Linked DNA regions of Lonchura striata. The protein of the gene in region 3 interacts with the protein of the main gene of each other region in a biochemical or structural test. Links are inferred from orthologs where the notes say so. Each region holds a gene or a part of one and is shown on either strand. Other genes may lie near its edges. The genes, in order: ERBB3, PDGFRB, NCK2 and LIMS1.

What was found.
Region 1: the proteins of NCK2 (region 3) and ERBB3 form a complex in vitro, tested with the Homo sapiens proteins (2 studies listed by BioGRID and IntAct, with this or other methods). The link is inferred for Lonchura striata from reciprocal best matches to the Homo sapiens genes NCK2 and ERBB3.
Region 2: the proteins of NCK2 (region 3) and PDGFRB form a complex in vitro, tested with the Homo sapiens proteins (2 studies listed by BioGRID). The link is inferred for Lonchura striata from reciprocal best matches to the Homo sapiens genes NCK2 and PDGFRB.
Region 4: the proteins of NCK2 (region 3) and LIMS1 form a complex in vitro, tested with the Homo sapiens proteins (4 studies listed by BioGRID and IntAct, with this or other methods). The link is inferred for Lonchura striata from reciprocal best matches to the Homo sapiens genes NCK2 and LIMS1.

What each region holds. Positions count from the first base shown.
Region 1 is NC_134629.1:9,399,058-9,407,017, forward strand, and holds the start of ERBB3 (receptor tyrosine-protein kinase erbB-3), read left to right. Parts: upstream 1-4,942; 5' UTR 4,943-4,961; coding exon 4,962-5,049; intron 5,050-7,960. Other genes in the region: RPS26 (small ribosomal subunit protein eS26), read left to right, coding at 1,166-1,296, 2,667-2,702. UniProt on the Homo sapiens protein: Tyrosine-protein kinase that plays an essential role as cell surface receptor for neuregulins.
Region 2 is NC_134617.1:6,433,978-6,440,956, forward strand, and holds the start of PDGFRB (platelet-derived growth factor receptor beta), read left to right. Parts: upstream 1-3,961; 5' UTR 3,962-4,326; intron 4,327-6,979. UniProt on the Homo sapiens protein: Tyrosine-protein kinase that acts as a cell-surface receptor for homodimeric PDGFB and PDGFD and for heterodimers formed by PDGFA and PDGFB, and plays an essential role in the regulation of embryonic development, cell proliferation, survival, differentiation, chemotaxis and migration.
Region 3 is NC_134604.1:89,332,362-89,339,311, reverse strand, and holds the start of NCK2 (cytoplasmic protein NCK2), read right to left. Parts: upstream 3,002-6,950; 5' UTR 2,674-3,001; intron 1-2,673. UniProt on the Homo sapiens protein: Adapter protein which associates with tyrosine-phosphorylated growth factor receptors or their cellular substrates. Maintains low levels of EIF2S1 phosphorylation by promoting its dephosphorylation by PP1.
Region 4 is NC_134604.1:90,285,304-90,293,290, reverse strand, and holds the start of LIMS1 (LIM and senescent cell antigen-like-containing domain protein 1), read right to left. Parts: upstream 3,012-7,987; 5' UTR 2,721-3,011; coding exon 2,539-2,720; intron 361-2,538; coding exon 201-360; intron 1-200. UniProt on the Homo sapiens protein: Within the IPP (ILK-PINCH-PARVIN) complex, binds to F-actin, promoting F-actin bundling, a process required to generate force for actin cytoskeleton reorganization and subsequent dynamic cell adhesion events such as cell spreading and migration.

The DNA.
Region 1 (7,960 bases), on a different chromosome or scaffold from region 3:
TTTCTCACCCCAAAAAAATAGTTCTTCTCACCCCCAGTCCCAAAAACTCCAATCCCAAAAATCCCAAAAACTCACCTGGATCAGCCCCATAAACACCCCGCAGATTGACCTGGATCAGGCTCCGAAAAATCCCAAAATCTCACCTGGATCAGGCTCAGAAAAATCCCAAAAACTCACCTGGATCAGGCTCAGAAAAATCCCAAAATCTCACCTGGATCAGGCTCAGAAAAATCCCAAAAACTCACCTGGATCAGGCTCAGAAAAATCCCAAAGACCCCCTGGATCAGCCCCAAATAGTGTCCTTGTTACCCCAAAATAAAGTCCTTTTTATCCCCCAAAAATAGTCCCTGTCACCCCCAAAAAATAGTCCTTGTCTCCCCAAAAAACAGTCCTTGTCACCCCAAAAAACAGTCCTTGTTTCCCCAAAAAACAGTCCTTGTCACCCCCAAATAGCCCCTATGGCACCCCAAAATAGTGCCTGCCACCCCCAGGGTCCCTGGCTGTATTTTTGGGGTCCCTGGATATGTTTTTGGGGGTCCCCGAGTGTATTTTTTGGTGTTTTTGGGGTTCCTGGTGTGGGGTTTTTGGGGTCCCTGGATGTATTTTTGGGATCCCTGGCTGTGTTTTTTGGGGTTTTTGTTATCCCTGGATGCGTTTTTTGGGGTTTTTGGGGTCCCTGGGTGTGTTTTTTAGGGTTTTTGGAATCCCTGGTTACATTTTTGGGGTCCCTGGTTACGTTTTTGGGGTCCCTGAACCCCGTTTTCCCCCCCCAGCCTACGTGCTGCCCAAGCTGTACATGAAGCTGCATTACTGGGGGTGTTTTTGGGGTCCCTGGGTGTGTTTTTGGGGTTTTTGTGATTCCTGGTTACATTTTTGGGGTCCCTGGGTGTGTTTTTTGGGGTTTTTGGGGTCCCTGGTTACATTTTTGGGGTCCCTGGTTACGTTTTTGGGGTCCCTGGTTACGTTTTTGGGGTCTCTGAACCCCGTTTTCCCTCCCCAGCCTACGTGCTGCCCAAGCTGTACGTGAAGCTGCATTACTGGGGGTGTTTTTGGGGTCCCTGGGTGTGTTTTTTAGGGTTTTTGGGGTCCCTGGGTGTGTTTTTTGGGGTTTTTGGGGTCCCTGGTTACGTTTTTGGGGTCCCTGAACCCCGTTTTCCCTCCCCAGCCTACGTGCTGCCCAAGCTGTACGTGAAGCTGCATTACTGCGTCAGCTGCGCCATCCACAGCAAGGTGGTTCGCAACCGCTCCCGCGAGGCCCGCAAGGACCGGACCCCCCCGCCCCGCTTCCGCCCCGCCGTGAGTCTGGGGGGTCCCCGAGGGGTCTGGGGGGGTCCATGAGGGGTCTGGGGGGTCCTTGAGGTGTCTGGGGGGGTCCATGAGGGGTCTGGGGGGTCCCCGAGGGGTCTGGGGGGGTCCATGAGGGGTCTGGGGGGGTCCATGAGGGGTTTGGGAGGGTCCCCGAGGGGTCTGGGGGGGTCCATGAGGGGTCTGGGGGGGTCCATGAGGGGTTTGGGGGGTCCCCGAGGGGTTTGGGGGGGTCCATGAAGGGTTTGGGGGGTCCCCGAGGGGTCTGGGGGGGTTTATGAGGGGTCTGGGGGGTCCCCGAGGGGTTTGTGGGGTCCCTAAGGGGTTTGGGAGGGTCCCCGAGGGGTCTGGGGGGGTCCCTGAGGGGTTTGGGAGGGTCCCTGACGGGTTTGGGGGGTCCATTAGAGGTTTGTGGGGTTCTCAAGGTGTCTGGGGGGGTCCCCGAGGTGTCTGGGGGGGTCCATGAGGGGTTTGGGGGGGTCCATGAAGGGTTTGGGGGGTCCATGAGGGGTTTGGGGGGGTCCCCGAGGGGTCTGGGGGTGTCCCTGAGGGGTTTGGGAGGGTCCCTGAGGGGTCTGGGGGGTCCATGAGGGGTTTGGGGGGTCCCTGAGGGGATTGAAGGGTCCCAGGTGTGTTCAAAAGGGGTTTGGGGGGGTCTCTGTGGGGTTGGGGGTGTCCCCGATGGGTTTGGAAGGGTCCTGGAGGGGTTTGGGGGGGTCCCAGGGCGGTTTGGGGGTGCCCCAGGCTTCTTTGGGGGCATCCCTGAGGGGTTTTGGGGGGTCCCCGAGGGGTTTGAGGGGTCCCAAGGGTGTTCAGAAGGGTCCTGGAGGGGTTTGGGGGGGTCCCCCAGGGGTCCCAGGGGCTTGGCGGGGTCTGGGGGTGTCCCTGAGGGGTTTTGGGGGTCCCTGAGGGGTTTGGAGGTCCCAGGGATGTTTGGGGGGGGATCCCCAAGGGGTTTGGGGGGTCCCAGGGGTGTTGAGAAGGGACCTGGGGGGATCCCAGAGGGGTTTTGGGGGGTCCCAGAGGGCGTTTGGGGGGGTCTGGGGGTACCTGGAGGGGGTTTTGGGGGTCCTAAAGGGTTCTTGAGGGGGTCCCAGGGAGCATTTGGGGGGATTTTGGGGGCACCAAAGGGGTTTGGGGGGGTCCTTGGGGGTCCCACACAATTTAGGGGATCCCAAGGGGTCTCAGGGGGTTTTGGGGGGTCCCAGGGGACGTTTGGGGGGGATCCTGGAGGGGTCTGGGGGTACCTGGGTGGGGGTCCCACACAGTTTTGGGGGTTCCTGGAAGGATTTTTGGGGGGTCCCATGGGTCTGTGCCCCCCCCCCCCTCCAGCCCCCCTAATTTTGGGGTTCTCTCTGCAGGGAGCCGCCCCCCGCCCCCCCCCAAAACCCATGTGAGGACCCCCGGTGAGGACCCCCGGAGCCGCGGGACCCCCAGAGCAGCGTCAATAAAGGATCTGCCCCAGCCCGCTCGTTTTGGGGGGATTTGGGATTTTGGGGGGTCCTGAGGGTGTTTTGGGGGGGATTTGGGATTTTTGGGGGGTCCTGAGGGGTCTCAGGATCTCCCCCAGCCCGCTTGTTTTGGGGGGATTTGGGATTTTTGGGGGGTCCTGAGGGTGTTTTGGGGGGATTTGGGATTTTGGGGGGTCCTGAGTGAGGGGGTCTCAGGATCTGCCCAAACCCGTTCGATTTTTGGGGGGACTCGGGGTTTTGGGGGGTCCTGAGGGGGTCTCTGATCTTACTCCGTGGTTTTGGGGATTTGGGGGGGCTCCGGGTTCCTCCAGTGTGGCCTGGGGGTGTTTGGGGCCAGACCCCCCGTTTTTGGGGCCAGACCTCCCCCATTTTGGGGTGTTTGGGGCCAGACCCCCCCCATTTTGGGGTGTTTGGGGTCAGACCCCCCGTTTTTGGGGCCAGACCTCCCCCATTTTGGGGTGTTTGGGGCCAGACCCCCCGTTTTTGGGGTGTTTGGGGTCAGACCCCCCGGTTTTGGGGTGTTTGGGGTCAGACCCCCCCCATTTTGGGGTGTTTGGGGTCAGACCCCCCGGTTTTGGGGCAGGACCCTCTCCGTTTTTGGGGTGTTTGGGGTCAGACCCCCCGGTTTTGGGATTTTTTGGGGTCAGACCCCCCGTTTTTGGGGTGTTTGGGGTCAGACCCCCCGGTTTTGGGGTCAGAACCGCCGGTTTTGGCATTTTTGGGGTCAGACCCCTGCCCCCGTTTTGGGGGGGGTCTTCAATGGTCCCTACCTCCCCTCCCCCTCCCGTTCGATTTTTTGGGGAGGGGTCTCGATGAGACCGGGGGGTACAAACGGGGCTGGGGGGCACCGGTGACCGGACCGGGGGCATGGAGAGGGTGAACCGGGACCGGGGGTGTGAACGGCACCGGGGGCACGGAGGGGGCGAATTGAGACCGGGACCGGGACCGGGGGTCGGCGGGACCGGGCGTGTGAACGGGGCTGGGGGCACCGGCGACCGGACCGGGGGCTCGGACCAGGACCGGGACTGGGGGATCTGAACGGGGCCGGGGGCACCGGGAGTCCGGAGGGGCGAATTTGCTCCGGTACCGGGACCGGGGGTGTGAACGGGGCCGGGGGCACGGAGGGGGCGAATTGAGACCGGGACCGGGACCGGAACCGGGACCGGGAGTGTGAACGGGGCTGGGGGCACCGGCGACCGGACCGGGGGCTCGGACCAGGACCGGGACTGGGGGCACCGGGAGTCCGGAGGGGCGAATTTGCTCCGGGACCGGGACCGGGCGTGTGAACGGGGCTGGGGGGGCACCGGTGACCGGACCGGGGGTCCAGAGGGGGCGAACCGGGACCGGGACCGGGGATGTGAACGGGACTGGGGGCACCGGGAGTCCGGAAGGGGTGAATTGACACCGGGACCGGGACCGGGGGTGTGAACGGGACCGGGGGCACGGAGGGGGCGAATTGACACCGGGACCGGGACCGGGGATGTGAACGGGGCCGGGGGCACGGAGGGGGCGAATTGAGACCGGGACCGGGGGTCGGCGGGACCGGGCGTGTGAACGGGGCTGGGGGCACCGGCGACCGGACCGGGGGTCCAGAGGGGGCGAACCGGGACCGGGACCGGGGGTGTGAACGGGACTGGGGGCACCGGGAGTCCGGAAGGGGTGAATTGAGACCGGGACCGGGACCGGGGGTGTGAACGGCGCTGGGGGGCGTACCGGGAGTCCGGAGGGGGCGAATTTGCTCCGGTACCGGGACTGGGACCGGGGGCGCGGCGGGACCGGTGGTGTGAACGGGGCTGGGGGGGCACCGGCGACCGGACCGGGGCTCGGAGGGGGCGAACCGGGACCGGGGGATGTGAACGGGGCCGGGGGCACCGGGAGCTCGTAGAGGGCGAATTTGCACCGGGACCGGCACCGGGACCGGGCTGGGGGCGTGGGGGCTTCACTTGACCGGACCGGAGGGCCCCGGGCCGGGCCGGAGGCGCCGCGCGGGGCCGGTCCCGGCCCGGTGAGGGCGGCCGCTGCCGGTGCCACCGCCCCGGGCGGGTCCCGGGAGGGGCGGGGAGGGGCAGCGGGGTGTCCTCCCCCCCTCCGCCATCCCCGGCCCGGCCCGGCCCGGCCCCGCCCGCCCCGGGGCCCCGCGCCAGGTGCATTCCCGGGCACGCTCCGCCGCTACCGGCGCCCGCGATGGAGCCGCACCGGGAGCGGCACCGGGCGCTGCTGCCGCTGCTGCTGCCGGTGCTGCTGCTCCCCGCGCCCGGCTCCGCGCAGGCAGGTGAGCACCGGCACCGGCACCGGCACCGGCACCGGGGGCAGCGGGGCTGCGCCGTGGGATCGGGCACAGGGGAACCGGGGAAGCACCGGAGCGCTCGGGGCTCCCGGGATGGGCGGCGGGAGCGGGAGCGCTCGGGGGTGGCGGCGGTGCTGCTGTCCCGACTCCGCCGGTACCGGACCCCGCTCCAATCCCGGTAATTCCCGCGGCTGTTTCCGCCGCGGGGGCGTCCCGGGATCCCCCGGTGCTGCCCCCGGGGGGACCGCACGGCTCCGGGGACACCGGGACCGGCGCTGAAACCTCCCCGGGACTGCGGCTCCGGCGGGGCTGGGGCTCGGTGGCCGCTCCCGGGGCTCGGTGCCCCTTTCCGGGACTCGGTCCTTGGCTCGGTGGCCGCCCCCGGGATCCGTCCTAGACTCGGTGCCCCTTCCCGGGGCTCGGTCCCGCTCTCGGTGCCCTCTCCCTGATTCGGTCCCGGGGCTCGGTGCCCCTTTTTGGGGCTCGGTCCTGTTCTCGGTGTCCCCTCCCGGGGCTCGGTGCCCCCTCCCGTTCTCGGTGTCCCCTCCCGTTCTCGGTGTCCCTTCCCGGGCTCGGTCCCGTTCTCGGTGCCCCCTCCCGTTCTCGGTGCCCCCTCCCGGGCTCGGTGTCCCCTCCCGGGCTCGGTCCCGTTCTCGGTGCCCCCTGCCGGGGCTCGGTCCCGTTCTCGGTGTCCCCTCCCGTTCTCGGTGTCCCCTCCCGTTCTCGGTGTCCCCTCCCGGGCTCGGTCCCGTTCTCGGTGTCCCCTCCCGTTCTCGGTGTCCCCTCCCGGGCTCGACACCTGCGGCCCCGCAGCTGCCCGGGCTAATTTTAGGCTGCGGGGCCGAGCCCGGCGATGCTTTTGGGCTCCGGGCGGGACCCCCGAGGGGGGTCGGGGGTGGGGGGGATCCTTCCAGCGGGGGACCCCCGGAGGATCCCCCCGGTGCCGTCCCGCGAGGCCGCCCCGCACCCCCGGTACCCCGGAAGGGCCGCGGCCGCCCGGGAGTTGTTTTTCAATCCCCAAAGGAAAAACACCGAGGGCTGGACGCGCAGGTGGGGCCGGCGCCGCCCCGAAACACCGGGGGATGCCCGGGGGGGGTGCCCGGGGGTGCCCGGGGGTGGGGGGCACACCGGGGGGACCCCTCGCTGTGTCCCCCGCTCCATGTGCCACCGGCGACGCTTCGGGTGCCACCCACGGGCTCCGGATCCGAGGGGACAGAGGGAGCCTCGGGGACACTCGGGGGGCTCGGGGACACTCGGGGGGCCCGGGGACACCCCGGGGACACCCCGGGAGCGGCCCCAGCTCTGCACCCCCCAAACCCCGGCTCTGAGAGCCCCCTTTGTTCGGGGCCCGGCACGCACACAGCCCCCTTTGTGCCGCCGCCGGGACCGAGGGCAGGAGGTCGCTCCGAGCCCCTCCCGGTGCCCCCCGGTGCCCCCGGTGCTATTCCTGGCGCCGGGGGCCGCGGTGGCACGCGGTTGATAGCGGGGACGTGCCGGAGCTGCCGGCGGGGCCCCGCGCTGATAACGCCCGGTCCCGCCGCCGCCGCGGCGCCCGGGGGGAACCGGGGGGGTCCCACCATCGCCGCCCACCCCCCCGCGGGCAGGTGCAACCGGGGGTCGCGGCCCCCCAAAATCCCCCCGCGGGACCCTCGGAGCCTTGAAGGTGTCGGTGGGTCATTAACGGAGGAGCCGGCGGACAGGGCTGGATGCTGCCCCCCGGCACCTTGGGGTCCCCCCCGGTCCCCCCCGGTGTTTCACGGGGGTCGCAGCACCCCCCGGCCCGGGCTCCCCCCGTGCCCCTCCCCGGTGCGGCGGGGCCCGGGGCCGCTGCCGTCGCAGCTGGGACCTTTTTATAGCCCCGTTCCCTGCTCAAATGGCCCGGGCCGGGCCGGGGGGGCCCTTCCCGTGCGTGCCCCGAGCTCCGCCGCCGCCCCCGGAGGGGTCCCGGGCCGGACAAAGCCGCCTTTGACCGCGGCCCCCCCTCCCCGCGCCCCGGCCTGAGTCACGGCTGGCGGATCCGGGGGGGCCCCGCGCCCCTCGGTGCCCCCGGGGGTCCCGGTTTGGGGGGCGTCCCCCGCCACAATCGCGGCTTTGTGCGGTGCCGGCCCCGCGCACAAAGGGGGCCCTGTGCGCCCGCACGACAACCGGGGGACCCCGAGCCGCCGCCCCCGCCGGGACCCCGCAGCGGGGCGGGCGCGGGGCTCGGCCCGCGGGGCGGCGGCGGCGGCGGGGCCGAAGTCCGGGCGGGCGTGGCGGGGCCGTGCCCGAGGCGCCCGCCTTGCGCAAGGCTCGCCCGGCCGGTTCGGGCACCGCGAGCGGGGAGGGACCGCGAGGGAGCGGCGGGGGAGGACCCGGGGCGGGGAGAGCGGCGGGGAGGGGGACACCGCGGGCTGGGTGACACGGAGGGGACACGGCCACCGCGGGCTGGGTGACACGGAGGGGACAGGGACATGGAGGGGACAGGGACATGGAGGGGACAGGGACACCGCGGGCTGGGTGACACGGAGGGGACAGGGACACCGTGGAGGGGACAGGGACACCGTGGAAGGGACAGGGACATGGAGGGGACAGGGACACCATGGAAGGGACAGGGACATGGAGGGGACAGGGACATGGAGGGGACAAGGACATGGAGGGGACAGGGGCGTGGTGGAGGGGACACGGCCACCATGGAGGGGACAGGGACACCGTGGAGGGGACAGGGACACGGAGGGGACAGGGACATGGAGGGGACAGGGACATGGAGGGGACAGGGACACCGCGGGCTGGGTGACATGGAGGGGACAGGGACACCATGGAAGGGACAGGGACACCATGGAGGGAATAAGGACATGGAGGAGACAGGGGCATGGTGGAGGGGACAAGGACATGGAGGAGACAAGGACGTGGTGGAGGG
Region 2 (6,979 bases), on a different chromosome or scaffold from region 3:
GGGCACTGGGGACAGGGACACATGCTGCCAGCCCTCACTGCTTCCCAGCATGTGTGGGCCCTGCTCTCAGTGGGTTGGGTGTGTGACTCCCCCTGCACTGCTGGCGAGCGTCCTGGTTTCACTCCTTGGCTGTGTTTCGGGCACGGGGCAAGCAGAGGGTTAACAATTCCCACATTAAAGTGGCTGCAGATGTGTGGGAAAGTCTGGGGCCAGAGGACAGCACCGTTATTAGTATTCACCCAGGAGCCTGTCGCTGCCTCCCGGGGCTCTGCCGAGCACATTTAATACCAAGGTTCGTGGCGGGGGTGAGGAGGAGTGCGTGGGACGGGGTCGGAAAGGCCCCGAGGTGGGGAAAGGCAGCAGGATAACATCGTCCTTGGCTGCTGCCTCCTCCCAGTGCCCCAGCCCAGAGGATGTAGGCAACGGGCCAGCACCCCTAAGGACACAGCACAATACATGGGTACAGCCCAGTGTTACCTCCTGACACTGCTGGCACCCTGTGGTGTCCATGGCCAGGGTTTCCAGTGCTGCAGGAGTGTTCCCAGTGCTGGGCAATGCTGCAGGATACTCCACAGGATGCTTCCCATCATGTTATGCTTGGGCATGCACTCACTTTGGAAGAAGCCCAGCCCTTTCTGCCTCCCCTTCTTCCCTGGGCACTGGTGTCACCCACCCAGTGCAAGCAGGACCACACACACACACACACACACAGACACACACACACACACACACGGTACAGGCTCCTCAGGGCAGAGCTTTAGAGATGCTGGATGAAGCCTCGGGGCAGCTCCCTGCAGGGCCCAGGGGCTGCATCCAGCCAGCAGCATGTGCTGGCAGCTGCCACAGCAGATGGGCTGCCCAGATGTGGTGCTGTGCTCCCTGGCACCCGCCACTCCTCTCTTGTGCTCTGCAGCTTCACACCACTTCAGAGCAACGCTGAAATTCCTGGGCTGACTTGGAACTGATAGAGGCTCTGAAAAACTGAAGCTGGAGAAAATCTGGCCCTCATCAAACCTTCAAAGGAGTGGAGTAGGCCAGCACCTGCTGCTTCTTTTGTACCTGCCTGTCACCTGCTGGCACATGGTACCTGTTGCTGACTCAGCATGGTTGTTTCCACCATTGTCTTGGGTCACCTGGCTCTGGTCTCTCTCCTCTATATCAGGCTTGGGATATGGGCTTTTCTCTGTGGTCCCAGCTCTGCCTGGGATGGGGCAGGAGTTCAGAGAGCTGCTTTTATCCACGTGATGCAAGAGCAGACCAAATACCCTGGAATGTCCTGTTTCAGTGGTTGATTTCCCTACCAGAGATGCTGCACTACATGACCCCAAGCCCCCATTAGCACTTAACAACGCTTATTGAGGCTGGAGATCTCAGCTGAGAGGGGTCTGGCATCCCACACTGCAGCTGTCCCAGCCCCAGGGGGACCACTGGGTCCTGCAGCACCACGAAACACCAAAAATAGAGGTGAGCAATGAAGGGCTGATGATGCTGAAGTAGCAGAGCTGCTGCCCTCCACCCCCACACTTGCACAGGCGAGTTCCTCTGGCTTTGGTGCTTCCTCTGCGCTGGCCTTTCCCAGGAGCTGCTGTAACCCCAACGTGCTGTTCCTAAACAAAATGTGCGGCTGCGGATGCTCCCTGGGGATGTACAGAGTGGGCTGACGTGTGCTTGCCGGGATGCTTTGGGCTCCCCAGGGCTCTCTCAGCATCCCCAAACAATGAATCCTGGCCTTTGCAAGACTGGGAGGTTTTGTTTGCCAGATTCTTCCTGGACCCAGCCTGGAGTGGGTATTGGGACCATCTGTTTGCAAAGGACTGAGGGAAATACGTCCCACTTCAGGCTCAGGATGCTCTACCCTCAAGCATGGTCTGTGTCATCTTTTCCACCCCCTGCTCATCCCAGGTAGCCCATCCCCAGTGCAAGGGGCCCAGCAGGATTGCAGCAGTGGGTTTCTCCCTCTCCCACTCTGCCTGGAACAGTCACGTCCTTGGAGCGGGGACACTGCCAGGAAACAGCTCTGCTGAGCAATTCCCAGCAGCCCTTAGGTCCCCACATATGGACCCAGCAGACACATCTTTGTCCCTCGGGAAAAGCCCTGGGAAGAGCCATGTGCAGAGCACATCCCTCTGCTGCCTGCCCCCCACACGAGCTGCTCTCAGCTCGCTGCCTCCATTTCTGCACAGCAGCTTGTCTCAGCCCGGGGGCTGACAGGGCCCCTGGCACAGCCACCACCAGGTCTGGAGCTGGGGGAATCCTTCCAAGCCAGGGCTGCATCCCTCCTGCAGCTGTCCTGCTGCCAGGCACAGCAGCCCCATGCCATGAGTGGCACACAGGGATAGCCTGGCTGCTGCAGCCTGGCTCTCCTCACACTCCACAGCTGCACAGAATAAACACCTCCCCTTTGGTTTTTGATAGATAAAAAGAAAACATGGAGATAATGTGAGGTAAGCAGCAAATCTCTTGGGCTGGTCCAGCCAGGGGATCATTCCCTCTGGCCATTGTGCAGGCATTGACTAGCTTGGCAGGAGGGGATGAGTCTGCCTTGCAAAAAAGGCAGAAACACAGATTTCAGCAGTGTTGTCATGGAGAGGGCTTTTTAATTCTTAGAAAGGAAAATTAAAGGAAGATGGGCAGGTATCTTTTCAGGATAGCAGTGCAGTTTTGAACTATTTCTTATTTGGATCAGAGAGAAACACAGAATGGTTAAGGCTAAAAAAGATCTGTAAGATCATTGTAAGATCATCTTCACCACTAGGCCATGTCCCCAAGTGCCACATCTAGACATTTCTGAACACTTTTGGGGATGGTGATTGCACCACTTCCCTTCGCAGCCTGTTCCAATGCCTGACCACCCTTAAGCATCCCCAGGATGAAAATCTTGGCAAGAACTGATGGATCAAAGGCAGTTTTCATCCAAAGATAACCTGTCCCTTGTTACAGTGCTAAAAAAAATTGAAAAAAATCCACTCTGCACACATGATAATGTTCTGCCTACTGAAAGTTTCTCAGAAACTTGATTTGAACTCCTTAAGAAGCTGGGAGGATTTAAAACTGGTTCATCACGTGGATTCCATCCCCCAGGGCAGCAGGGGTGTAGGACATCTGAGATGATGGCATGGCTGAGGTGACCACTCCTGCCACCTCTCCAGCTCTGTGCCCTCAGCAGCCCAAACAGCGCCAAATCCCCAGCTAAACCCACCCTCGCTGCAGCATCCCAGCTGCAGAAAGCCTTTTATCCCCCTTTCCAAAAAGAAGAAGAGTTGCAAGGGTGCGTTGGTGGTCCCCAAGGGGCAGTGGCCAGTCGGGGTCAGGGGCCAGGAGCGGCGGGGCCGGCACAGCTCAGCACAGGGAGGCATCGGGGGAGCACACGGAGTCAGCTCAGTGCAGGCCTTCTTTAATAAAAACATGAGTCAGCTGCTGGCGTGGGCAGTGGATTTTCTAAACATCCCCTCATATCCTGAGAAAGGGGAAAAAAAAAAAAAAAAAAAAGAAAAAACGGGAGGGGGGGGGGGGGCTAGAGGGGGGAAAAAAGAGAAAGAAAATAAAAGAAAAAGAAAACAGAGGGAAAGGCCAGAATTGAAAGCAGACACAGGGAGAGGGCAGCTCCTTCCCTCCGGTTTAAGGAGGCGATAGTCGGGCTGCTCCGGGCTCCTTTTGTTCCCTGTTAGCCGGGCCCTCATCGCTCGCCCCATCTCAGCCCGCAGCAGAACTCTCCTCTCCTTGCAGCCACTTTGGCTTCTTCTCCTTTTATTTATTTTTTTTTTTTCCTTCACCCATCACACTCGTCCGCCGGGCGTTAATCGCAAATTCTGCTCCGCAAAGGGTCCCCACAGAGGGTGGAGGGAGGAAGTCGGAGGAGCTCCGCTCCTCATTGGCGAAGCAGCCTCCCCCCTTCTCCTCCTCCCGAGGTCTCTTTTATTTATACACGCACGCACACACGCGTGCACATCCCTCGGCCCCGGGCTTTGCTCCACGCTGGGGTCCGAGGAGGCAGAGCCCCCTCCCAGCTGGGCTGGGGCGGCACAGGGCACTGCTCGGATGCACTAGAGGAGCAGAGCAGGGGCTTGGCTGCAGCCCAGCCTTGGCACAGCCTTGCCTCTCCTTTTGATTTTATTTTATTTTCCCCCCGCTCCTCCCTTCCACTTCTTTCTTTCCCTCTCTTTCGCCTTTAAGTGGAAAAGCCTTGCCAGCTGGGGAAGGCTGGGAGGGCAGGGAGAGCCTCAGCAGGCAGCAGATAGAGAGTTTGGAGGAGGAGAGGGAGGAATTTCGGAGCCTTCCCGGTGGGACGTGCGGCGCAGGCACTCGGCTGGCGGGACCCTGCTCAAGGTAAGCTCTTGTGTCGCCCACCCGGGGGCTGGCTCGCCCTCCTGCTCAGCTCTGGCTCTCCAGATGGGAAATGTCGTGTTGGACCTGGTACAGCCCCGAAGGACCCTGTCCCTGATCCGGCCCGGCTGCTCTGCAAGGGGCTCTGCTCCCCTCCAAGGGTTGGCAGCCCGAAACGCCCACCAAGCCCTGGGGAGATGGTGTTTGGTGGAAAGCAGCTGAATTCTCCGGCATCCCACGGGAAGGAACACGGCATCAGCTCTCACCAGCCCCTGGGTGGGGATGGCTGAGAGGAGCGAGGGGATGCTGCGGCTGTAGGACAGGAAGGGGGGACCCCACTGCAGTGGGAGTAGGGCCCAGGTGATCTCTGCTTCTCCCTGGATTGGGGCTAGCCCTGGCTCTGCAGGATGGTGGCTGTGGGAGGGCTGGGGTGTGCAGGGGTCAGAGGCTGTTCGCCATGCCAGTGAGATATCCTTTGGAGTGTGAGTGCAGAGCAGTGTCACCCCTGTCATTGCCAGCCTGTCCAAACACACCCATGGCCATCAGGCTGCTCCAGGGACCGTGTCACCTCTGTCTGTGGCCATGGCAGGGCTCCTGTGCCTGTGGCATGGAGAGGGACATGTGCAAGCCCTGCCCAGGGTCTGTACCTGGGAGTGCTGCATACTGGAGAGGGCAGAGCTTGGTAAAACTCTACTAGGCATAGATGTGGGTGGCTACTCTGCTGTCCTGAGAGCACAAGAGCTGAGGGCCTCCAGCAGGGCAGAGCTGGTCTGGAGTGAGGCTCTGACAGCCCAGGAACAGGGGTGAGCATGACCTGCGGAGCTTTGGTGCTCACAGTGGCCTTAGAGCATCCAGCTCCTGCATTCACCTGCCAACTGGGAGTCATTCAAAACAGGATTTGTGGTGGAAAGGGATGTTGTGCTTTTCCGTCCTGGTCCCAGAGCAAGTGGGATTTATGCTAAAGCATGGGGAAAGTAGCTTAAAGTAGTTGGTCTGGTGTGCACACCCTGTGCTGGCAGAGGCTTGGCATTCCCAAATCTTTTCAGAAGATCTCTCATTGATGAAAAGGATTAGCAATGTTGAGACCCAGTGCTTCCCAGAGGCCATTGAGGGGTGGCTGGGAGGGTCATTCCCCCTCAGCACCCTGCAGGACAAGATGCTTGTGCCTCCCATGCTCTTGGGGAAGGAGTGAGTTTCGTGTGGTCAGTGAGCCAGTGTCAAGGACGTGTCTCTGCCTGGCAGAGGACACAGGCCAGGCTGGCTTGGAGGAGGAGCTGCCAGGCAGCTGCCCTGCTTGGCAGCCCTGGCCAGGGTCTGACATGAGGCTTGGAGTCACTTCTTGACAGGGATGTCACCCAAGCTTGGGTGTGCTCTGGCTGCTGTGGCAGCCACCAACCCTGGGCAGTGTCCCTGAGCCCAGGAAACACCTCTAAATCAGTCAGTGCATCGGGGGGATCGGAGTTTTGGACAAGCACCAAGTCACAGCATGCACAGGGCTTTTCCTAAAGCTGGCTGTCCCTTCCTCCAGCTCAGGACTATGGAGGGTCCTCATAGAAGGAGCAGTCCAGGAGACAACAGCCACTCATGTCCCTGTCCCTGCATCACCTCCTGCATCCCTGCCCAGGACTGGGAGTGCGGGGTGCCCGTGGTCAGTGTGCAGCAAGCACAGCCAGCTGCACTACTGCAGTCTGGGAGAAGTTAGCCATGGCTTATTGTCCACAGTCCTGGGCACATCTTGTGGTGTGCTGCAGGGCTCTGGCCTGGGCTTGGTCCTGTGCAATCCCTGCATGAACCACCTGGGAGGTGGCTGAGCACACATCCTGCACCCTGGGGTGGCACTGAGCTGGGCGGGCAGCTGTGTGTGAGGAGATGCCAAGAGCTCCAGCAGAGTCCAGAAGCGAGCAGAGTGGCTGTAGTGGACACAGACCAGATTGCAGCACGGTGCCAGGAAACCCAAGCTCTTCCTGAGGGATGCACTGGAAGATGCATGGCTGGAGGCAGCTCAGAGAGGCAGGGTGGATGGAGCAGGTCCTCCCCAGCAAGTGACACCAGGTGCTTCAGCAGGGATAGGTGTGGAGTGGATGGGCTCAGGGACAGCAGTGAGGATGATGAGATGTCCAGAAGAAGCTGCAAAGGACTGGGAGAGGGGTTGATGTGGCTCGTTGGTCACTGGGTGTTGTGGGAAGGTGACACACAGCTTCATGCACAGGAAAAGGCATCACAGAGAGAAAAGAGATTTTAGGAGGAATATCTCTAGGTTTAAAACAGAAGGCTGAGTTCCTTCAGCATCACAAGTCTCAAAGCACACGTCAGGGAAAGCTCTGGCTGGAAGACATGGGCACAGGACAGTGACACCATGATCTCTTTCAGCCTCATTTTCAATGGGTCTGTGACAGGATTTCCAAGGCATTCAGAACAACTCTCTCAGGGAGAGGAGAGCACCGAGCCTGTCTGCAGGAGCAGAGCAAGACAGGATTGTCTCAGTGAACACCAGAGGAAGGCTGAGATTAAGAAATGCTCTCTAGCTGTGGGAGTAATGCCATGCAAAAAGAGACCATTGGCTGGATATGGCATTGGCCAAGTGTCCAGCTGCTGCCAGAGGCTCCAGGCAGAGACTTCTCTGCTGGTCCTCAAGGTTCCTTTGGCCTCGGTGTCT
Region 3 (6,950 bases):
GACACACCAGATGACCTACTTTGGGGGAGCAGGGTGTCCAGCAACGAGCACCCAGCACCTCACCCCTAGGCTGACTGAACTAACCAAAACACAGCAGTGCCTGGTTTCAGTTTTCAAACTCCCTCAAACATCTCTAATGAATCCACATCAGCAATTCCCCTTCCTCAAAACACAGCAGGAGTGGGGTTTGGGAATACCCACAGCCTAGAAACCATCAGTCCCTCAATACAAACAGAAAATATTTTTCTAGAACGTATGCTTTACATTCAAAGATGCCTTGGTTTTGATTTCAAACCTGCTGCAAGTAAATTGATACAGCACCTGTCTCCATGAGTCTGGAAGCAGCTTTAATGCTCAAGGAGCATGAGAAATGCAGATACTCTGGGTAGTTTTGCTGCTGCTCAAGACCACGACCAGCAAACAGAGCTATCTGGGTATCACTTTTCAAGTTGCTACTGTTATAGTTTCTACTGAGGAAAGCCATGAGAACTGCAAAGGATTAACATACCAACAGCAACACAAGGCACAGATAAAACAAAGGCTGGAAAAGCAGCAGACACGGCTGACCTTGTCCCTCTTCTTTATATAGCAGAAGATGTGAGGTGACATGGAAGAGTGCAAACACCTTTCCTTAAGCTTTCAGACAGCTAACCAAGAAAACAGAGAAGAGAGGAAAGGGAGGTAAGTTCCCTGTCTGTAAGGCAACAAGGCAAAGGCTGAACTTCTGAATTTATCATATGTTCAGTAGTCTGGATGTAGTAAAAAGGATCATCCACACTATCAAGGGCTAACTCCGCTATTAGTTTTGGGAAAATAATGCAAAAGAGATTTTGTGTATAATTTTTTTTTTTCACAAAAGCAATCGAACTGTAATCTGGTAGAAGTAGGAGGCAAATGCAACAGCTAATGTTGCGACGACAGAACAACAGCAACAAGAGCTAACATTATAATGAATCTGTCTCCGTTTCATGGCCTATATAAAAATATTTGCTAATTACAGTCTTGATCTTCATGGTACGGGTGCCTTCTATTGCTACATTTATTCACTGTTCCCAAAAGTGACATCTTCTGTCAAAGTCACAAGAAGAAAGTCAGTTACAAAGACAAAGCAATCTGCTTAACTTCTTAAACACACTTGGGTGAGACAGAGGCTTTCGATTTCCAGAGTTGTGAAATCAATATTTCAGAGAAGCAACATTACATCAGAAATTATAATCCTAAAAATGAAAACACAGTACCATTAACATCATCTATGTGGTGCTGCTTCAGATTCCTAAAAAGCAACGACAAAACAAGTACTTTCAAACAGAAATACTTCATAATCTCCTACCCAGTGAGTCCTTTCAAATTCCTCCATATTAAGTTACCAGTCCAAACTCCCGATGATACAAACCACGCATGGTTAGGCCATGAAAATTTGTTTTTACAAAGGGCCACTACCACATTTCATGAAAGATAAGTCTAATTCTCCCACGTTAAGCTGCTAGAACAGCAGCAGTACGTTCCTCAGAAGAAAAAAGCTTCATGGGAAGAAACGCTGTTCAAGCTGAAGAACGCTTTAAATTGTTGCCGACTTTCAGTCACTGTACAACTTTTAAAACAACAAAAGGTTTCTCTTTGTTTTACAAAAACACGGTAGTTCAGAGTGAAATACTACACAGAATCCACGGAAAAACCCTTATGCACACAGAGAATCACATTCACTGTTAAAAAATAGTGGAAGATATTAACATAGAAACTAGAGCTGAGAGCTCTCATGATCAGCCAGCTGCAGGTCAGACCTGAACTACAAAACTGAATCCCGATCTGGCAACCTGATCTTAGATAGGCCAAAGTGCCTACCCTGCCAGCAAGGGGCAGCTGTTAGGCTGGGCAGATTTTTAATTAAAAACAGGGCGAGAAGACTTATAAACTTCAGTAATTTTCTTCCCAAAACACGCAGGGATGCGCTTCACTGAACACTCATTACGTGAGGTGTAATTTTACCTTTATGTCCTTTACCTATACTGGCATCGACCGAGGCCATAGCGCACCGCGCTCCTTGAGAAAATCCGCGGCCTCAGCCCTATGAAGTCGAAAGTCGGTGACGGAAAAACAACGAACTGAGCGGACCGAGGGCGATGTCCCCGCCGCAGCCCGGCGTGCTCGCTCGCCGGTCCCCGCGCGGGGCGGCGGCGCTCCCGCTCCCGCCCGGGAAACTTTCGGGGTGCGCCGCGCTCCGGCCGGGAGGCGCTGCCCGCCTCCCCCGGCGCTGCCCCGGCCGCCGGATCCACCGCCCCTGTTCACCGGAGCCCCGCGAGGGGTGCGGGGGTGGCGTCCCGGCCCGGCGCTACCCCCCGGCCGGGCGGCACAAAGCAGCGGCTGTCACACGCACGCACACACACGAGCGGCAACTCGGGAGGATGAAGAGGAGCCGCCCCCAGCCCCCCCCCCCCCAACTGGACGTGGCACAACGAACACTCCTCCCGCTCCGGGCCCCCCGGGCCGCCCCCGGCAGGTACCGGCCCCTCCTGCGCGGGGCGGCCGCGGAGCCTCGGCCGCACAGGTGACACCCGCCTTTCCCCCGCTCCCGACGCCCCTTCCCCGCGTCGTCCCCCGCGGCCGACACAAGTTTGCGGCGGGCCCCAGCCGCCGCCCCGGCCCCATCCCCGTCCCGCCCGCGGCCGCGCTCACCTCCGGCCGGCCGGCGGGGAGCGGAGCGGGGCGGGCAGCAGCGGCGGGGAGGCTCCCAGCCCAGGCGGGCTCCGCTTCTTTGTCTCCTCGGCGGCGGCGCCCGCTCGCTCCCCCTCCGCTTCCCTCTGTCCTTCCCCGGGCGGATGCGGGCCGCGTCCTCCGAGAGGGGCCGGCTGGCTCCCCCCGCTTCCCCTTCCTTCTCCTCCCGCGCTCTTCACCGGACGCGTCCAAGGCCCCGGCCCTCGGCGGCGGCAACGGCGGCGGCAGCTCCGCTCCCTGCCTTCCCTCTGCCTGCTGCGCCCGGCGGCGGCGGCGGCCCCTCCTCCGCGAACCGCCCCCCCCCGGCACAGGCACAGCCCCCGCCCCCGCCCTGCCCTTCCTGCCGCTGCCGCTGCCGGGATCGCGCGGGAGGAGCTCTCCGGGCTCCCCCTTGCCCGCCGGGAGGGCCGCTGCTCCCCCGCCCCAGCGCAGGAAGGACGGGCAGGGACAGCCTGGGTGGCTCCCTCCCCTCTGCGGGAGGACCTCTCCGGGACCGCGGGGCGGGGCAAAGGGGCCCCTGCCCGTGACGAGCGCCCTGACACCTCCTTCCCCTTCCATCCCCATGAGACCCGGGGAAGCTGCCCCGCTGGGAGCGGAAGCGCCCGGGAAAAGTACTGGCGAACGCTGAAAGACCCGGGGATGGGGGAGATGTGCGCGCTTCGGGGCTGGGCCGGGGGATGCGCCGCGCCGGGGTTCGCCCCGGGGCTGCCACGGGCCGGGCGCTTCGCGGGCCGGGAGCGCGGCGCCGCTGCCGCCGGGGAATTTCCAGCCGCGATACCGGGCGCTCCCGCCGCCGCCCATTAGCCGCGGGGCGGCCGCAGCCGTAGCTCTTCTCTTCCCGGCCCTTCTTTTCCCTGCCGGCCCGGGGCGAAGTTTCAGCCTCGGTGCCCAGTACATCAGCCGGTCGGGCGGTAATTGGTAGGTGCTGTGCCCTCGGCAGAGCGTGTGGGCACGGCAGCCACCCCAAGCCACAGATTCTGAGAATATCCTGTGTTGGAGGAGACCCACGGGGTTCATCGTGCCCAACTCTTTGCCAAGCACAGGACACTTCAGTAACTCCACCATGTGCTGAGAGCACTGTCCAAATGCTTCTTGAACTCTGTGAAGCTTGGTGCTGGGGCGCCTTTTCCAGTGCCCAAGCACCGTATTGGTGAAGAAACTTTTTCTAATATGCAGCCTAAACCTCCCCTGACACACTTCAGGCCAGTCTCTGGAGTAAGCCAATTCTGAAACAAAGCCCCGTGGCTGGGTGTATGTCCAGCCCGTGCTACCTGCTGTGCCTCTCCACTCACGGGAAAGATCTCCACGAGTGATTAAAGGCAGAGGACAGAAGCATCCCATCGTGGCCCTGGTCTCTAGTGGGAATAGCCAACCTGCCAGCTCCAGTGCTTTCCCCTTGGCACACTCCCCCCAGTAGTGTCCCTAGGCTATGGGGAAATATTATCCCTCGGGGTGGGCAGGAAGGAAGGGGGAAGCCACTCTAAAATATTGTAAACCTTTGGCATGTTTACATGCCGTATTTACATACGAATACATACATCTTTACATATGAAATATGGCAGCTCCGAGGGCGAGGAGGCTGGAGTGTTATCCATACTGGTTCTTCTCAGGAGACAATTCCTGGCTTTGGAGGCAAGACTAGGAAACACCACTCTGAATCCAAATTAAAGTCAGCAACCCTGCCACCTTGTTTTCTGTGACCAAGCTTAATATAGTAGTGAGATCTTGAGACAAAGATGTGTGCTCGGCCATCTTTCCATGCTCCTGCTTAAAATGGTTTAGAAATCCTCAAATAACTCCCTCTTCCCCTTGTTAACTTTTACAAATTCTTACAGCACTTAATTGGTGGTTTGGGAAGTTCCAAGTGCCTTTCACTTGCCTGTGAGATAAACCTGAAAGGAAAATGCAGCCACCTCTTTCTTCCAAGAAAGACTTTGTATGCACCTCGGGGAGGAACAGAAATCCCCTTTCCTGTGTTTTTGTGCATGCATTTAATTTCACTTCAGAGAGGTATTAATCTTCCTTTTGAAACAATAATCTGACCATGCTTTTTTAGAGCTGGAAAATATTTGGGGTCCCTGCTGGCTCCACCTCACAGCATGGTTAGGCATCACTCCAGCCTGCACAGGCTTAGGCTGAATTTAAATGGGATCGGTCATCCAAGGACTTTCAGATAAAAGTCTCTGTTGTTTCTAGAACAAAATGCACTGTGGAAGAGATAAAAGAGAGGTGAATTATCCCTTCCATCCTTTGCATTTATACTATACAGTTAGGTTTTGGTCTCAAGTTTTGTCCCTCTTACCACACCTTTGCTAATGCCATCCCACAATAAATCCTCCTCTGGTTTTTTCCCTATTCGCTGTTGAATTGAGGATGTCCAAGGCAAGGTGGCATGGACCCTTCGAAGTTTCTGGGCTAAGACCTCTAGAAGGGACCATTAGCTGCTGAATGAGCGGTAGCTCTCAAAGCTTTCCAGGTATCTGAAAAAAAATGATAAAACACACCTAACTTTAGCAGATTAATGCTAATAGGATTTGCAGAATAAGAATGTTTTAGGGAGGGATTTGGATGAATACATTGTCTTGAGGCAAAGGACTAATTTAAGGACTCTGAAGCATACTGTTGTTAAATATACTTAATTGCATTAAGAAGAGATCCATTAAAGCTGGGGTTTTTTCCAAAGTGTGGCTTATGACAAACAGAATACACTGTAAAAAGTGTTTGCAAGGGTTTATATGTTGAAGGATGTTTTAACTGCCTATTTGCTGAATGAATCCTTAGGTTTCCCCACAAAAACAACCAAGATGTTGCCCTGAGTAGTATTTCAAAACATTGAGCCTACTGAAATATTAATGTATGCCTTTTAAAATGTCATAATTAGCTGTTATCTCTGAAATAACTGTTATTAAGAAGAGCTGGCTGCTTGTGATTTGAGTGAGAATTACATTCTAAATATGAGAAGATGATAAATTGGGGGGAATATGCACAGAAGTGAAAGCAGTACATGATGTGGCAGGCACACTTTTGTATAAAGAAAGTAAATATGTAAAGCATGCACTTTTGCATATGCATAAGAGTGGTGCTGTCCTTACAAAACATATACACCGTAGAGAAGAGCATAAATATTTTTCCCAGCCTAAGGCCATAACTATATACTAAAAAGAGAAAAAAATGGGTGAATAATAGAAATATGTATCTATGTCTTTGGCAAAGAAACAGCATGCCTCATACCACTGTTTCAAATAGGGCTACATGCAAACCCCAGACCCAGAGGTTGTGTGATAGACCTATTTTGCAATTATATAATGGCAGTCAATTCATCTTGATGTTCATGTTTTGCACAAGGCACTAAAAAAAAAATAATAGCATGTCTTTTGGCTTATAGTTCTTTACTTTTTTTTTGCCTTTCTTTTTTCATGACTACCCATTTTCTTTCCCCTGTGTGCTGCTGCTTGGGCTTTACCACCGGCCCGGCAGAGCGGTGGCTTCCACAGGATGGGCATGCGAACATGTGGATCCCAGCCATGCAGATCCAAACCACACTAATGTGTTTACACACAATGCGGCAGGAGAGAACAACCACCTCCCAGATGTGGCTCCTTCTGCACAAATACCTGATCTTTTCTCCAGATGCATCAGGTTTTCTCACCAGCTGCTCTATCTAGAGTCTGAACTAATACCTACTCCCATAGGGATACACTTTAGCAGGGATGTGAGACAGAGGGACTGGTAAGTTGAAAATCTGGAAAACAACATTGTCCAGTTCAGAGGTAGACAGCAAAAGGTGTTTTGTCACTCTGTGTTAGTCTATTGGGATGAAAATATACCTAATCTAAGTTAATATAGGTTGGACTCCATGATCTGAGAAGTCTTTCCAAAACAATTTATTCTACGATTCTGTGATTAACCTCTTTCAAAAGCCCCTACTCCTGATTTTCAAAACTGCCTTTTAAAGATAACAATAGTCTAATAAACTCCATTTATACATGTGTGATTGTTGATACTGTATCAATAACAAATGGAAAGATAAAAATCTTTGGGCATTCTGGGGAAGAAAAAAGGGGATTTTAAATTCTCCTTAACCTGAAAAAATGCTAATTTTAATGACACAAACAACAATAACAGAAAATAACAGAAAACTTCTGTCAGTATATTTTCTCTCAAAAAAAAAAATCTTGAAGGGTTTACATCACTAAATATTTAGTTTCTGCTTAAAACATATGTTCAATTCCCATGTA
Region 4 (7,987 bases), about 950 kb from region 3:
AATGTTATATACATGGATGTCCTCCAAATTAGCACAGAAATGCTTCTGGTTTTTTTCTCCCTTTACTGGGCATACTCTGTTAGAGCCCAGATACTCTCATGGGACTTTCTAAGCTATCCACCTGCCTGTAGCTACTTCTGCTATGGGAATGAAGGCTCAAGAGGGGGTATGGGGACAGCAGGGGTCTCTGCCCCACTTACCTCATAGAAGAGCCCTTCGGGGAACTGCTGAAAGCACTGGGCGCAGACGAAGCACTGCTCGTGGTACAGCTCACCATTGCTGTTCACAATTTTCTCGGCAGGGGCAAAGCCCCCCCTGCAGCGCTCACAGATGGCGTTTGCAAGCGCGTTCGCCATGTTGCTGTCATTCAAAAAAAAAAAAAAAAGAAAGAAAATTAGCCTAAGTAGACAACAACACTGGTCATCAGTCTTTCCCCTGCTCTACCAGGCCAAACTGCACCAACCTAATGATAAGCTGCTCAGCACAAGTTTTTCCATGAACTTCATAGCTTGCGGCATCTCCCTGCTCCCTAACTCTTTAGATAGAAACAAAATCCCTGTGATATGCTCTAATTAATTGAAAACCCCAAACAGAAACCTTGTCTCTTCAGACACATTTACAGGCTTTCTATGATGAAAAAAGGCAATTCAAAGTACTATAAGAATTATGATATACATTAAAATGACTGAAAACAAGGGCAAATATTAATGATTAAGGACTGGCATCACACAGTAAAACATAAATTATTTATTGTAAACCAATTCTAATACATACATATATAACTTCTAAACTATACATATATAATGGCATTGGTTCAGAGCTCTAAATAAACAATGTGAAAGAGTGTGCAGGATCTAGTCTGGCAGATATTAATGAAAAACAGAGTAGTTAAATAATTATCCTTTATATGAGCTCTGCATAGCTTGAAGTCATTTTACAAATTTAGTTTGAAATCATGGGATTTTTGATTGCTTTGTTAGGGTTTATCTCAGGGAGCTCGGCTGATCATGTGCCAGCTCATAGCCCACTCCAAGGCTAGGGGGGAGGAGAGGGTGGGAATGCTCTGGCTGCCCCACTGCGACCCATGCCAGGGATGCAAAGAAATATTGAAACAGCAACCTTGGTTGCTTCTCAAAGGCACAGGACCAAAAAAAAGGCAGTGTGGTAGCTGTCCACATCTGCAGAAGACAGTATAGCTGATTTTCAGTTAATTAAAGCCAGCAAAAGGCTCTTTTGGTTTTCCCTTTGCAAACATTCCATCACTCATATCTAGGCTCTCAAAACTCTGCCTTTCAGGATCATCCTTAATACCATGTGGTAACAGAAAGTAAATATAGGGCAATGGTCTAGTTTCATTAAAATGGGATGTCAGCTGAGAAAACTAATGACTCAATATTTATCTGGAAGGTTATTAGACAAGTGACATTATTTGAAACACATATGCATGCAGGCACGCATTTTGATAAGTTATCATGCTGTGCCTGTAAGTGCAGAGCCCACAGTCCTCTGTAAGATGCCAAGCCTTCCTTCTTATCTCTTCAAGGGGATAAGACCTTTGGGCTCCCACCATGTTCAATAGGAATTGAATTCATTCCTTGCACACTATCCAAGGGAGCAAGCAAACACCTAGCACGTGGTTCAAAATGGAATGTGTTTTATCTATTTCTTACACTGTCTCACAGAAGAGCCCTACACAAGGTCACATTTGACATGTTATTATTAGCTAGCACTTTTTTTTCTCTCTCACTTGATCTTTGCAGATGAGGAAAACGGTAACTGCAATCCAAATATCCACTGTCCTCACAGTGAAATGAGTGGGCAAATTTCACATGAAGATCAGACACAGGATGGTCTAACCCCTAATAACAGACAGACCTATGGACAAACTGCAGTGACTATACATATAAACTGTGATCAACTGTAAAGGTCATCAATGGTCTTCATTGACTGTGTATGCTTTCTGTGGGGCAAAACCTCAGTCAATTTTCCCATCTTCCTTATCAATCTAAATGAAGAATAATCACAAGAGAAACTGGGATCTTTCATCATCACTTCAACAGTGCTTGAGCATTAAGGATTCTAAGCACTGATGTACGTAAAGTACAATCCAAGCAAAAACATGAAACAAAGTTCAAAACCAAGTAAAAACAGTTTCCCTCTTCAGGAAAAAGTGCTTAACTTTGAAACACATCACATATGTAAAACTAGTGAAGTATGTAATACTTCTGCATTAATGAAGCGGTTTATCCATTTGCCCAGAATAACTGGCAAACAACCTGAAGGCAGAGAGACTACTTTAAAAATTCCAACACCATTTTTACTGCTGATAAAAATTCCTGATGCAATTCATGATGAAATTTAAAGCAACAATTCAAATTTTAGTTGTTACAACTGGCAATGTTTCAAGCAGAACAGTGGCAAAGGTTGAATGAGAGAACAGCTTGCACAGCCTGAGCCCCAGATAATAAAATATATTATGTACAATACACCAGTAATGTCACTGCAGTTACACCCCGAAGCTGAACAGAACAAACTTACAATCTTGCATAAAAATCACAAAACTCTTTGTAGAGTTTTATTTCACTGTGCCTACGTTGCAATTTTGACACCGGTTTCTCGCCTTCATTTCCTGCGGAGTTGTGAGCATCAGGAGTGACCTTGTAGGCAACCTCTTCATCCTCTGGGATGGGGAAGGGCTGAGCTCTGCGTTGGAAGTCCATCTCGCTCTGATTGCTTTCCCAGGTGTATATATTCTATGCTTAGACTGCAAACAAACTGTAGGCAAAGTCCGCAAAACAATATGCTGGACTTCCCCTTGTTCCCAGCGAAGTGATTTACTTTCACAGCTCCTGTCATGTAGCTGGAGCTACTCAGCACCCTGCTAGAGCTTCAAGTTAAAAGTTCAGCAGCAGGGCTGGGAGCCTGTCACGCTGAGATTTACGCAGGCTGGCTGTGCACAGAGAACACTCCCCTCACCAGGCCCTCATGTAAACTCGGATGCTGGAAAGGGTCTTCGCTGCTGGCTGCTGACAGAAGCTGCCCAGGAGAGCTGTGGTGTGAGTAACCTATGTGCAAATAAGTTTATCACCAAACTTGGCTGCAGCTTCTTTATGCTGTGGGGGCGTGAAGGCAGAGTCCAACAATATTTTATCATGGGCAAACCAACAGTGGAAAGCAGGATCAGAAGACTCCTGTCTCCAGGTAAATATTGCTTTAATGCTATAGTGTGTTAATTACATTGTAAAAATGACATTTAATGCTCCACTTGTGTCTTTTAAGTCATATGTGTTGAATTTATCTATGTATGTCTTTCCTCTTCTCAGTACTTCAGACAAGGGGAAGGTACAAGCAGATTGTTTGATTTCTGTTCTGTTTCTCAGGCCATTAACAAAACTGACAGGCATGCCATAATGGACAATACATGAAGGAGGAAAACCAAAGCTTTATTTCCAGTGATGTGCTGCATTTAGAACAACTATCCAATGTAAGAACACTAACTAAAGTAAGATTTACAGCTAATAATTAGACTCTTACAAGCTCTCCCTCTTTGAAGCGCAGTGTTTGTGGCACAGTGCCTGTGGGCTTCCAGCACTTTATAACTGCAGAAAAGGAAGGCTTTTGGGAAGCCCCCCTGAGTAACTAACTTTTGTGTTGAACTGTCTCAGCCTTGTTAGCAACCAGTTGAACTGCAGAACTGCATGCACTTTGTGCTCATGACACACAGCACACTGGCAGCTGAAGAATCTGCTAGTCTGTGAGGGGGCATGAGGAAGCAGAGGATGACAAGAAGGAGATGAGTACCAGGAACAAATAGAGAAACTAGAACTAAGATCAGAGAGTAATAGAATAATTTAGATTGGAAAAGACCTCAAGACCACTGAGTATAACCATTAAACTAATACTGCTACATTCACCACTAAATCATGTCCCCAGGTGCCACATCTACACATCTTTTAAATACTACCAGTGATGGTGATGCTAATACTTCCCTGGGCAGTCTGTTCCAGTGTTTGACAACATTTCCATGAAGAAATCTGTCCTGATCTCCAATCTAAACCTTCCCTGGTACAACCTGAGGCCATTTCCGCTTATACTGTCACAGGATATGACAGAATGTCCAGTCAAGGCTACAATTTCTTAATATACCTGCACCTTCCCTAGGACCTACCACAGAGGGTCTGGTTGGTGATGTTTTTTGGCCATATCTCTCACCACCACCTAAGACAGCTTGCTCAGCAAGCGTACAGCAGCCCACACGCCACTCTCCATGCAGGCCTGAGCTTGCATGCAGCCACCTTCCTACAGCTCAGCCAACACAGTCCCACGCTGCTGCTTCTGCTGACAAATTTGTGGAATGGGTTTGGTCAGTGTCTTCCCTTCACTTCCCCTCAACAAGGAGCAACAACCCCCTAGGCAAGCTATTTCCTTGCGTAGGTGGGACCCAGGCAGCATGACCCTGCTGATCTGCCTGTCTGTAGGTGTGATTATTCACCCTATGCCAGAGCTACCAGAAGTCAAGCTCTAACAGGCTAAGGAAGCTGCACCCTCACCACTGACACAGCCTGGCTGCAGCTCAAGTCCTATTTTTATCTGTCATAGGGCACACTGCAGATGAAGCAATGCTCAGGTTCTAGCCCAAGGCCAAAAAGATCTTGCCAGAGCACCACTGCAGTCCTGGAAGAAAAGGTTTCTGCATTCTCTGAAGCATGAGTGATGAAAATGTGCAGACTGCCAACAGACATGCAGGTATAGTGATGCCAGTTCTTCTTCATCTTGCTTCCCAACACTTTTTGCACAGGTCAGTGCTGAGCTTCTGTGGGCATAAAAAACTTCAGTGAGACTGACTACAGTGGACTAAAAATGCTGATTTATTCAGGATTAGTAAAGATAAATGAAGCCACTAAGATAATAAACAGCAAGTGAGCCTACCTCTTCCTCTTATCACTATCTTCTCAACAATTTCCCAACTCTTTTCCTGTATTTTGTCCCAGATCACAGACAATTCTCCTGGGAAGATGCTGCTGTAAATCAAAAGTGCCCCATAGAGACTTTTTCCTGGTGGACTACTACAGTTTTGCAGTAATCTGAAATCCACAGGTGACCAATGTGGTTGGAAACAACTTCTGCTGCCTCATATTCTCTTTGGTCAACAAGAAAACATTTGATTGCTCCTTCACCTTGCTACTGTGCAGTCTTCTGCATGGCTGTAGCAAAGCAAGTAGTACAGCAAGTTAGTGCAGTAAGATGTCCATCCAAAAAGCCTGGTTTTATCTTCCTAGTTTTTGTCAGGAGCAAGTCCTTCAAAGTAACAGGACTCCATATGTGCAGTAAGTAGAAGTTGTCTGGTTCTCCAGTCATATTACCATTGCTGCTGGAGGAATGACTCCAAATTTTTTCTAATAAACAAGAAGGAGCTTAACAAGAGTTTTAAAAGGGCCTTTATGCTACTGAAGCAAAACACAGCTTCTACTGTGAAGGTCTGATAATCCAGAGCAGCTGGCCATCCTTCTCTTTTCTGACATTTTATAGGAGGCATGCTGCCCAGATCTGAAATACATTGTTAAAAATACACTTCATTTTCATGAGGGAATTCTAGGTTACTCTGAGGTGAAGCTGTCCATGGAGAGTGAGAAGTATGTAAGGGGTTGTTTTGCAGCAGCAGCTTCCCAAGGGCATTCCCTGGGATATGGGACAAAACACAGCAAGCAGCCTATTGTTAAAGATGCAGTGCTAGGGAGAAGAAGTTGGGCGTTTAACTAGAAAAGACAGGTATGAAAGAAAAAGACAATCTCCTCTTGGCACACTGAAGATCTTATCAGAAGCCAAAACTGATGGTAGGGAAGGTGCTGAAGGAAATGGTAGAAGAGGGAGGGAGAAGTGTTCCACTGCGGTTACCAGAAGGGCTTTGGTAAACAATAGCAAAAATAGGCGCACTGCCTAATCCCTGCTGAAGGATGACTGCCGCCTCACTCCACGCTGCTTTCGCTGCACAGCTTTCCAGCCTGGCTGCCCATGCCGGCGGCTGCCAGGGGCAGACAGGGACTCTTACAGTGACGGCTCGGTGGCCAGCCAAGCCCGCTGAGCATTTCACTCCGTGCCACAAATAGCCGTGTGCGGAGCAGCCACGGCTCCAAACAAGGTGCTTGGCAAAGGCAGCTGCTGCCTGGCAACCTGTTTGTGCCACCGGGACATACAGCTGCGGGAGGAAACACCCGCGGGGACAGGCGGGGGATGAACAAGCACAGTGCATCCCACCTCCTCCCCCGCAGGCACGAGTGGGTTCATTCCAATGATGCAGTAACAGATGCTGTGCAGTGACTCTCACACGCAAAATACAGAACAACCTAGAAAAGAAGTTTGGCTGCAAAAGACGCGTGGGCTTGCAGTGCCCTGCTCTGATTTCTGCACCAACATTTCAAAGCACTAGTTGACCTTTTGTGAGGGTTTCTTATTGAAATTAAAAACACTCTTGGGTTCTGGTTGCTGCAATTGTTTATCTCTTAAGCAATAAAATACTTTCTGGTCTCCTAAGGCAGTTTGAAAAAAGTAATTAATATTTTATATAATTAAAATGCACATTTTTACAGGTTGGATTTTCACATGTGCTCAGCACTGCTCCAACTACTTCTTCTATTAAAAATTATGGAAAACCATCTTGAAAACACTGCAGTAAAAATCATGTGAATTCTGAGTGTTCCTGAAAGTTTCATTCTTTAGTCTTCACCTCAAAATACATAATTAAGCTTATGTGGTGGGAGTTTAAACAGGGCAAACAAAAAGGCAATTCTAGTTGTTTCATATCCTCCAGTATAAATTTATTCTAGTATAAACATGTCCAAAAAATGCTTTGGTCTCCATAAACAGAGAAGGTTCACATTCCATCTCTCCATAAGGAAGTAAATATAACTGGAATAGACAGGTAAGCAGCAGCTTCCCACACAATGTTTATCAGTCATTCAGGCACAGTGAAATATCAGTCTCTGACAGAATTTATATAAAGGAAGAGCAATATGCAACTACAGCATTTTCCTGTTGTAAGTAATATTTCAGCAAAGTATTGTGTTTTCTTCCTGCTGGTTACATCTATTACCAAATGAAGCATAAACCAAGTAATAACTTCTGTGTACAGATATTTGATACTCTTTAAAACATTCATCTCGTCCTCCCACACTACTGTTTCCTTCAATCCTGTGCAGACAGGAAAAATAAAACAAACAGTACCATATATGAGAAGCTCATGAACTCCAATAATTTTGTGTTGCATGTGACACAGCACATTATTGGCTATTCTTGAAATCTGCACCTGAGTAGTCAACTGCAAGTCTATTTCATTATGGTATCCAAATTCCTCCAACTCTATAAATTTTAAGGATACATTTGCACTGATGCATTTCATATAACACTTACATCCTCATTTCTAATTTAAGAATAATAAAAAAGGTCAGCCACTTAATTCTAGGGGCTGCACATCAAATGTTCCTGAGACAGTCGCTGTGAAAAGAACCATCTTTTCAAGCCTGAAAAGAGAAAATCAAGTCCACCAAGCTCTGAAAAAGTGACAGGACAAGAAGAAACAACCTCAAGTTGCTTCAAGGGAAGTTCAGATTGGACATTATTTTTTTTTGTTTCATGCAAAGGGGCGTCAAGCATTTGGAACAGACTGCCCAGAGAAGTGGAGCAGAGTCAACAACCCTGAAACTATTTAAAAGACATGTAGATGTGGCACTTGGGGACATAGTTTAGAGGTAGACCTGGCAGTAATGGGTTATTAGTTAGACTTGATATTAAGAGGTTGTTACAGCCTAAATGATTCTATGATTCTAAAATGCAGTAACGTATTTCTCTTTAGGGTAATGGCTTCCTTGCACAAATATTCAGTTCATGTCATCTGTCACTGACATCCACCAAAAATCCTCCACTGAATCCTCAGCGTACAGGCAAATGCCAGCCTTTGATTCTGCCTGAGTCATCTGCCTGCACTATGTGG